Macaca mulatta: one gene and its partner. The protein of the gene in region 1 interacts with the protein of each later gene in a biochemical or structural test. Links are inferred from orthologs where the notes say so. Each region holds a gene or a part of one and is shown on either strand. Other genes may lie near its edges.

Evidence for each region. The genes of interacting proteins can lie anywhere in the genome.
Region 2: the proteins of FERMT2 (region 1) and ILK form a complex in vitro, tested with the Homo sapiens proteins (2 studies listed by BioGRID). The link is inferred for Macaca mulatta from reciprocal best matches to the Homo sapiens genes FERMT2 and ILK.

The regions. Positions count from the first base shown.
Region 1 is NC_133412.1:126,000,894-126,004,393, forward strand, and holds part of FERMT2 (fermitin family homolog 2), read right to left. Parts: intron 2,049-3,500; coding exon 1,942-2,048; intron 1,810-1,941; coding exon 1,588-1,809; intron 1-1,587. UniProt on the Homo sapiens protein: Scaffolding protein that enhances integrin activation mediated by TLN1 and/or TLN2, but activates integrins only weakly by itself. Binds to membranes enriched in phosphoinositides.
Region 2 is NC_133419.1:59,177,271-59,181,301, reverse strand, and holds the start of ILK (scaffold protein ILK), read left to right. Parts: upstream 1-1,231; 5' UTR 1,232-1,277; coding exon 1,278-1,366; intron 1,367-1,857; exon of another isoform or gene 1,858-1,949; intron 1,950-2,511; exon of another isoform or gene 2,512-2,540; coding exon of another isoform or gene 2,541-2,593; intron 2,594-4,031. Other genes in the region: RRP8 (ribosomal RNA-processing protein 8), read right to left, coding at 380-478. UniProt on the Homo sapiens protein: Scaffold protein which mediates protein-protein interactions during a range of cellular events including focal adhesion assembly, cell adhesion and cell migration.

The DNA of each region.
Region 1 (3,500 bases):
TGCACTCCAGCCTGGGTGACAGAGCGAGACTCTGTCTCAAAAAAAAAAAAAAAAAAAAAAAAAAAAAAAAAAAAAAAAAAAAAGAAAATAATGTGTGGCAGTTCTCGTTTAAGCTCGTCTATCTCCCTGATACCTTACTGTGAAATGATAAAACTGGTCATAAAACAGGTTTGAAATTACTTATTGCCTTTGAAGGCAAATATATTCACTTTCAGAAACAAGATTCTGTATAATTTTAAAATGAAATAACTACGAATATGAAAAATGAAATTAGCACTTGCTTTACTTTCCCTTTTTAACTTACAATCTACATTCCACACAGTTCCCCAGGGCAGCATTTCCTCCATTCCTTACTACTCCCACATCATATGACCATGGGATAAACAATTTCTAGGCTTACACAACCTCTGAGACTTAAAGACAAATACTCTGTGATTAAAACCTCTGAACATTTAGGTAGAAATAATTTCAGACCCATATAATCAATATTATATTTAAAGTTAAGGAATTAATAAGTGTTCTGGGCATTTCATTGAGCCTTTTCAGTATGTTTTAAAATTACTCCTTAACAAAGATTAAAGCACAATTAGATAAAAACAAAATATTTATTTTAAAGGTCTTCATCCCCCCCACCCCCAAATTGAAGCCTTTTCCTTTTATGGCATGATGTTGGGTGCAGGGAATACCAGGGCCTATCCCAAGTGAAATTCCCCTGTAAAGGACTTTTATGTTGTACCAAAGAACCATTTTCCTAAGTAGCAACCCTTTTATGGTATTAATTTCCAAAGAAAAGAATTCTAAACAGAGTGGACAAAAGCAAATTTCAATGAAAATTTACCAAACTGTGTAACTATGTATAAAATTTTGGTTAGGTTCTGACTGATAATGTTAAGAAAAGACACAGCTAAAAATATACTCTTGTAAAGTTTCATTCTAAAGTTGGAAAAGCCCATTTCAACAATAGTTGGTATTATGAATTTTGTTGGGAAATGCTGGCTGCACTTTACGTCACATTTACTTAATTATATAAGGAATAAAATTAAATAAATTAAGGAATGCAAAGCATTGAGACCATATTCAATTCCCTAAAATGTCTGAAAGAACATCATCATGTTAACAGAATGATTTCTGCAAGTTGTTTAGAGTAAGTTCTCAACTATTCTGCCTCCTTATTAAAATGATAAAGATTTGTTTTAAATGACCAATTTAAACTTGACTAAAGGTTACTTTATTTCCTACAGGTTGAGTATCCATTATCCAAAATTCTTGGGACCAGAAGTGTTTTGGGTTTCAGATATTTTTGGATTTTGGAATATTTGTATTACACTTACCGGTTGAGGATCCCAAATCTGAAATCCAAAATGTGCCAATGAGCATTTGAGAGTCATGTTGGCACTCAAAAAGTTTCAGATTTTGTAGGATTTCAGAAGTTCCAATTAGGGATACTCTTATCTGTATTTTATATTCTAACCACCTGACATAATATTAAGACTAAAAAGTTTTGTTTAAGAGGGGAAAAACAAGGTTATGTATAAAATTATAAGAACAAACCAGCAGAAAACAGATGAAGTAAAATGAAGCAAGTACCTGCTTGTTCTTATACTTTTTTAGATAGCGGGGAGACACCAAACATTCAGGATTTATATCAGTCGTGATCTGCTCTGGTATTAACTGAGGATCTGGGTTTAAATGCTGCATCTTCAGAAAGGAAAGAATATTTTGAACTTCTAAGTTGTAAGAACTGTCCGCCATGGTCTTGCCTTTGGAGGCTAATCTGCAGGCTGCCATCCAATGTGCATACTGTTTTTCCTGGAGAAAAGAAATACTGATGTGTGCAGTGTATCACGAGACAGGTCTTTCAAGTATAAAATATAAGGATGACTGGTCAACTCATTTAGAAATCCAAGAAAATTGAAGTGTATTTTTAACTGAAAGACTTACATTGTCACAACGAAGCCAGATTTCATTCATGCCCTCTGCAACTGGAATCAGGAGTTTAATGTTAAATTTTTGGCCTGAAATGTTTACATCTGGGGTAACTTCACATCCTGTAACAAAAAATTTTTAATTATCAAAATGGCTAAATTTACTTTTAAGAAATCTCAAGTCAATATAAGCAGCTCTCATTTTGTGGCATCTTAACATGTTGGATTTTGCCATAGTATTTTATGAAGGCATCTGCTGCAGAAGGTAATATACACATTTGCTTGGGAAGCTGGAATGAAAATAAGCCGGGCATGGTGGCTCATGCCTGTAATCCCAGCCCTTTGGGAGGCTGAGGTGGGTGGATCACCTGAGGTCAGGAGTTTGAGACCAGCTGACCAAATGGTGAAACCATGTCTCCACTGAGTACAAAAAATGACTGAGGTCAGGAGATGGAGACCATCCTGGCTAACACACGATGAAACCCCATCTTTACTAAAACTACAAAAAACTTAGCGGGCACCTGTAGTCCCAGCTACTCGGGAGGCAGAGGCAGAATGGCGTGAACCTGGGAGGGGGAGCCTGCAGTGAGCGGAGATGCGCCACTGCACTCCAGCCTGGGCGGCAGAGCGAGACTCCGTCTCAAACAAAACAAAACAAAAACAAACAAAAAATTAGCCAGGCATGACGGTGGACACCTGTAATCCCAGCTACTTGGGAGGCTGAAGCAGGAGAATCGCTTGAACCCGGCAGGTGGAGGTTGCAGTGAGCTGAGATCGTGCCGTTGCACTCCAGCCTGGGCAACAAAAGCAAAACTGTGTCTCTTAAACAAACAAACAAACAAAAAAACAAAAACTCTATTCAGAATTTCACTTTGTAGGAGGCTTTACAGAAGGCAGTGCAGATTTACTGAACTAGGTGTTAGATGATGGCATAACAGCTGGCATAAACAAGTAGTAACAGTATAATAAATACAGCAACGTAGAGCTCTGCAGAGAGACGTGGGTTCCAGACTTTTCTTTGTCACTTATTAATAATTATGGGCCATTTAACTTATCTAAGTCTACATTTCCTGACCTTGAACTCTACCTCACAGGGATGATTTAAGGATAAATAAGATAATACACATGTCGAAGCTTCCTAAAGCTTATTCCAATTGTCTGAGAATGACATGAACAAAGCACAGTGTCATACGATCATGCAATAGGCTCGATGAGGAAAATTTTAAACTGTTAGTAGGGCTTGCCTTTTCAATTCCTCTTGGCACAGAACATAAGAAGATCATACACACTCCATATCCAGAAGAACAAATGTTAAAATTGTCATTTTCCCCCTCTACATAAATATTTTAGTATTAAATAAAAACACTTTAAATAAAGGAGAGGCCCTCTTTATTCTCCTCCCTAGCAACTCGTACCATGAATTTGGTAGATTCCCCCCTGCCCTTTGTTTTCTTTTTAAAATATTTCTACACACAAATGTCTTCTTTTATATCTCCTTTTATACAGGCTTTAGAATGATGAGAACGTGTGTGACAAACTGTTAAACGTGCAAAGTTGAAACAGTTGTTTGAAAGT
Region 2 (4,031 bases), on another chromosome or scaffold:
AAACCTTTCATTGGCTTCTAATATATGCAAAACTTCTAATCTACCTCTTGAACTTGAACAGCATCCCTTCTCATTTACTCTGTATTCCAACCACAAGGATCACTTGTGTGTGTGACTCTAACAGAACATGCTGTCTTGCCCCAGGGCCCTTGTACGTACTTTTCCCTGTCTGAAGAACCCTCTTCGCTTCCCCAGCTTCTACTCAACAACTCTCTCTGACCCAACGTCAGTTTCTTTTGGAAATTCTCGGATCTTTAGATCAGGACTCGCCCTCAACGGTGCCACAGGTGTCCCTCCCTGCAATACACACAGCGCTGGGATCCACCAGCGTCTGCTTCGCGGCCTGAAACAGCTCCCATCGCCTCTGAGGGTCACTCACTTTGTTTTGCAAGGCGGCCGCAGGAGGAGGTCGTGAGATTACGGGCCCGAGGCCCGCGGCTACTGGGGCCGCCGAGGCCCACTCAGGCTCTTCGAACATGAGGGACCTGAGGGCAGGGTCGCGGAGTCCCCGATCTTCTCCACGTGCAGAGCTCTTCTCTGGGAGTCGCAGCGCTCAGACCCGCCAGAACGGAGCCGGAAACCAAAGCGTGACAGCCAGGGGTTGCTAGAGCGGCCGGCGCAGCGCAGCGAACCATCGAGTTCAGCCAGCCGCGGCTAGAAGGGCACGGAGGCGGTGGGAGGGGAGGGACGGAGGCCCGCGCTGCCCAAGAGCACCAGGGGCGGGGCGGGGCCGGCGTCGGGCTGCGGGCGCGGCCGGACGGGAGTTCCCCGGAGAAGGAGCCTGCAGCCCGAGTCCCGGTGAGTGCGAGAGGACCCGCGCCCCCTGCCCACGACTAGGGGTCCTGCCAACCTGTCACCCCTCACTTCTCCTGAGTTCCAAGTAAGGAACGGAGCCAACCCTGGGGAGGACCCCCAGTCCCCTCCCCCAGCGTATACGGATCCTGAACCTCCCCACTTCCCCCAACTCTATTCGCGGATAGGGTCTAGTTGCCTACTCTCGGACATCCGTTCAGGAGACACTACCTCTTAGTAGACACTACCTGCCTCCCCTGACCCCCCTTTACCTCGCGCCTAGAGGACACAGCCGGGCATCATCCCGCAGCCACAAACTCCTTCACAGACCCCCAATAGCCGGGGACGCAGCTCAGGCCCCTTACCCCCAACACAAACACTTCTCTCCTGTGGAGGATAAAGCTTGGGATTCATCCTCCTTCCCTGGATCACCCCACAGTCCTCAGGCTACCCTAATCCAGGGGACTCGGCGCCGGGACGCTGCTATGGACGACATTTTCACTCAGTGCCGGGAGGGCAACGCAGTCGCCGTTCGCCTGTGGCTGGACAACACGGAGAACGATCTCAACCAGGGGTGAGCTGAAGCGGTTGGTGGATGAGAGGAAGGCTAGATATCTCTTGGCTACGTGGAGTGGAGTGCTCATGTCTGGTGGGGGCGGCTGCCTTTGCTAGCCAGTGTAATGAGTGCTAAGCACAGCCTGTGGGGGGCAGAGGGTCTTCACAGAGGACGCAGTTTGAGCTGAATCTTGACTGCTGAATGAGAGTTTCACAGGCAGAGGCTGCAGAGAGCTTTCCAGCCTCAGTAAACTGCATGGGCAAAGACTAGGAGGCAAGGCACAGAGCAGAGAGAACAGGAAATTGTCTGGAGTTCCATATAGCTGGAGGATAGATGATCTCTGTGGGTCGGAGCATTGGGTACAAGAGGAGAAGAACAGGACATAAGACTGTAGAGGTCTGCAAGGATCAGCCAGATCATGCAAGCATATTTAGGCTATAAGAAGGTCTTTATTTTAAAAGCAAGGTTTTAAAGCTATGTAGTGACATAATGAGATTGTCCATTTTTCAGTATCATCTTGGATGCTTTGTGAAGAGCAGGTGGAAAGGAGGCAGTTGCCTAGTTCATCGTAGAAGTAATGATGTCTTGGACTAGAATTAGGGTGAGTGAAAAAGAGAAGTGATCAAATTCCAGAAGTCTTTAGGACAAAGAATTGTGGAACTTGGTGGGGAGTGAGTAAGGGCAAAGATGAGGACCAGGGTTCTGGCTTGGGAACTTGGATAGATGGTGGCTGTTTTTACTGAGATGGAGAAAACTGGAGGATGAGGCATTCTATTTTGGACGTGTTAAAGTTAAGGTGACAATGCAGCAAGGTAGAAATGTTGAGTGTGTTGTTGGTTACGCAGATTTGCAATTCAGGAGAGGAATCTGACTTGGAGATAACAGATTTGAGAGCTATCAGCATATAGATGATACTTGAAGCCATGGGTGTGAAGGAGAATGTCTCAGGAGAGTGGAAGGCAAGAGGTCAGGAGACAGGAAGCCTGCACGACTGAAAAGGAGCAGCTGTAAGTTGAAAAAGAAATAGGAAAATGTGTCAGTAAAGCTTAGAGAATGTTTTAATGAAGGGGAGGTGGTCAACAGCAGTTCAGGCTACTGAGAGATCAAAGAACATTAATATTTTAAAGTAGCCATTGAATTTACAATTGGGATTTTTTTTTTAGGTTCAGGGGTACATGTGCAGGTTTGTTATATGGATAAACTCGTGTCATGGAGATTTGTTGTACAGATCATTTCATCACCCAGGTATTAAGCCATAGTACCTATTAGTTGTTTTTCCTGATCCTCTGCCTCTTCCTATCCACCCCACTCTCGTAGGCCCCAGCGTCTGTTGTTCCCCTCAATGTGCAGTTAGGATGTATTTGATGATCTGTGAGTATTGTTTCAGAATAATGGGTGAAGAAATCAGACTACACTGGGTTCCTTCATTTAAGAAACTATGATGAACACCTTCTGTGCTGGGTGCTAGAGTCCAGAATCTGACATAATCTCTGCTCTCAAGACAGCAGATTTGTGGCAGATTGAAAAGTAGACCAGTTGCGGTGGCTCATGCCTGTAATCCCAGCACTTTGGGAGGCCGAGGTGGGTGGATCACAAGGTCAGGAGTTCGAGACCAGCCTGACCAACATATTGAAACCCTGTCTCTACTAAAAATACAAAAATTAGCTAGGTGTGGTGGTGTGCGCCTGTAATCCCAGCTACTTGGGAGGCTAAGCCAGGAGAATCGCTTGAACCTGGAAGCAGAGGCTGCAGTGAGCCAAGATCGTGCCACTGCACTCCAGCCTGGGCCACAGAGCAAGACTGTCTCAAAAAAAAAAAAAAAAAAGAAAAGTTGAGAGGTAAGCAAATAGTGAAAGGGAATGTAGACCAGTTCTACAAGGTTGGCTGAGATAGGAAGGCAAGAAGAGCAGTAATGATGGTGACTCAGGGTGGCAGATTCAAATTCTTTATTTTTTAAGATTGGTAGAGTTTAGTTTTTAGGTTTGACAAGTCAGGATCACCTGTCATCTTAGTCTAGACTTCACTGGTTCCCATTAGGTTCTACACTATTTATCTTTAATACTTTGCAAAGTCATTTGTTCCATTTTTCACATAATTCTCAAAGGGTACCCTGATAAAGACAGAAAGCACTGTTACTATTTTGTTGATGAGGAAATACAGGCTTAGGCAGTTGTCCAGTTGACCTAGCATCTAGGAAGACTCTAGGAAGATGTTGCCAGAAGGAAAAGGGGTGGCATTAATGAAACTGGATGGTTGTGGTGCTGGTTTGAGGGGTAAAGTATGGGGGCCTAAGTTGGCTGTATGCTGGATATGAAGAAGGGGTTAATTCCTAGCAGGATTCCTTGTGATAAAAGTCCAGGCCCTGAGGTGGCAGGCAGCTTGATAGTGAACAGAACCCTTGTGCCCATACTTTTGCCCTCAGAGTTTGGCCTGCCCAGTACTGGAAGCTGATAAGTCAGGGCACAAATTAAAGGTCTAGGAGGCAAGACCAGCTGATAAACAGTGGGTGTAATGCTTCCTGGGGATATCCCACCTCTAGGGAAAGCTTTTGGCTATTTCTGTGTTAGCAGATGCCAGCAAGTTGTGGAGGAAAATGATTAAGTAAAAGGCCACACCCCCAACCCCTTCAGCTGTAGGGGCATCTGGATGGCCAGACCCCTGATCACTCCAGGCCTTGCCTAGA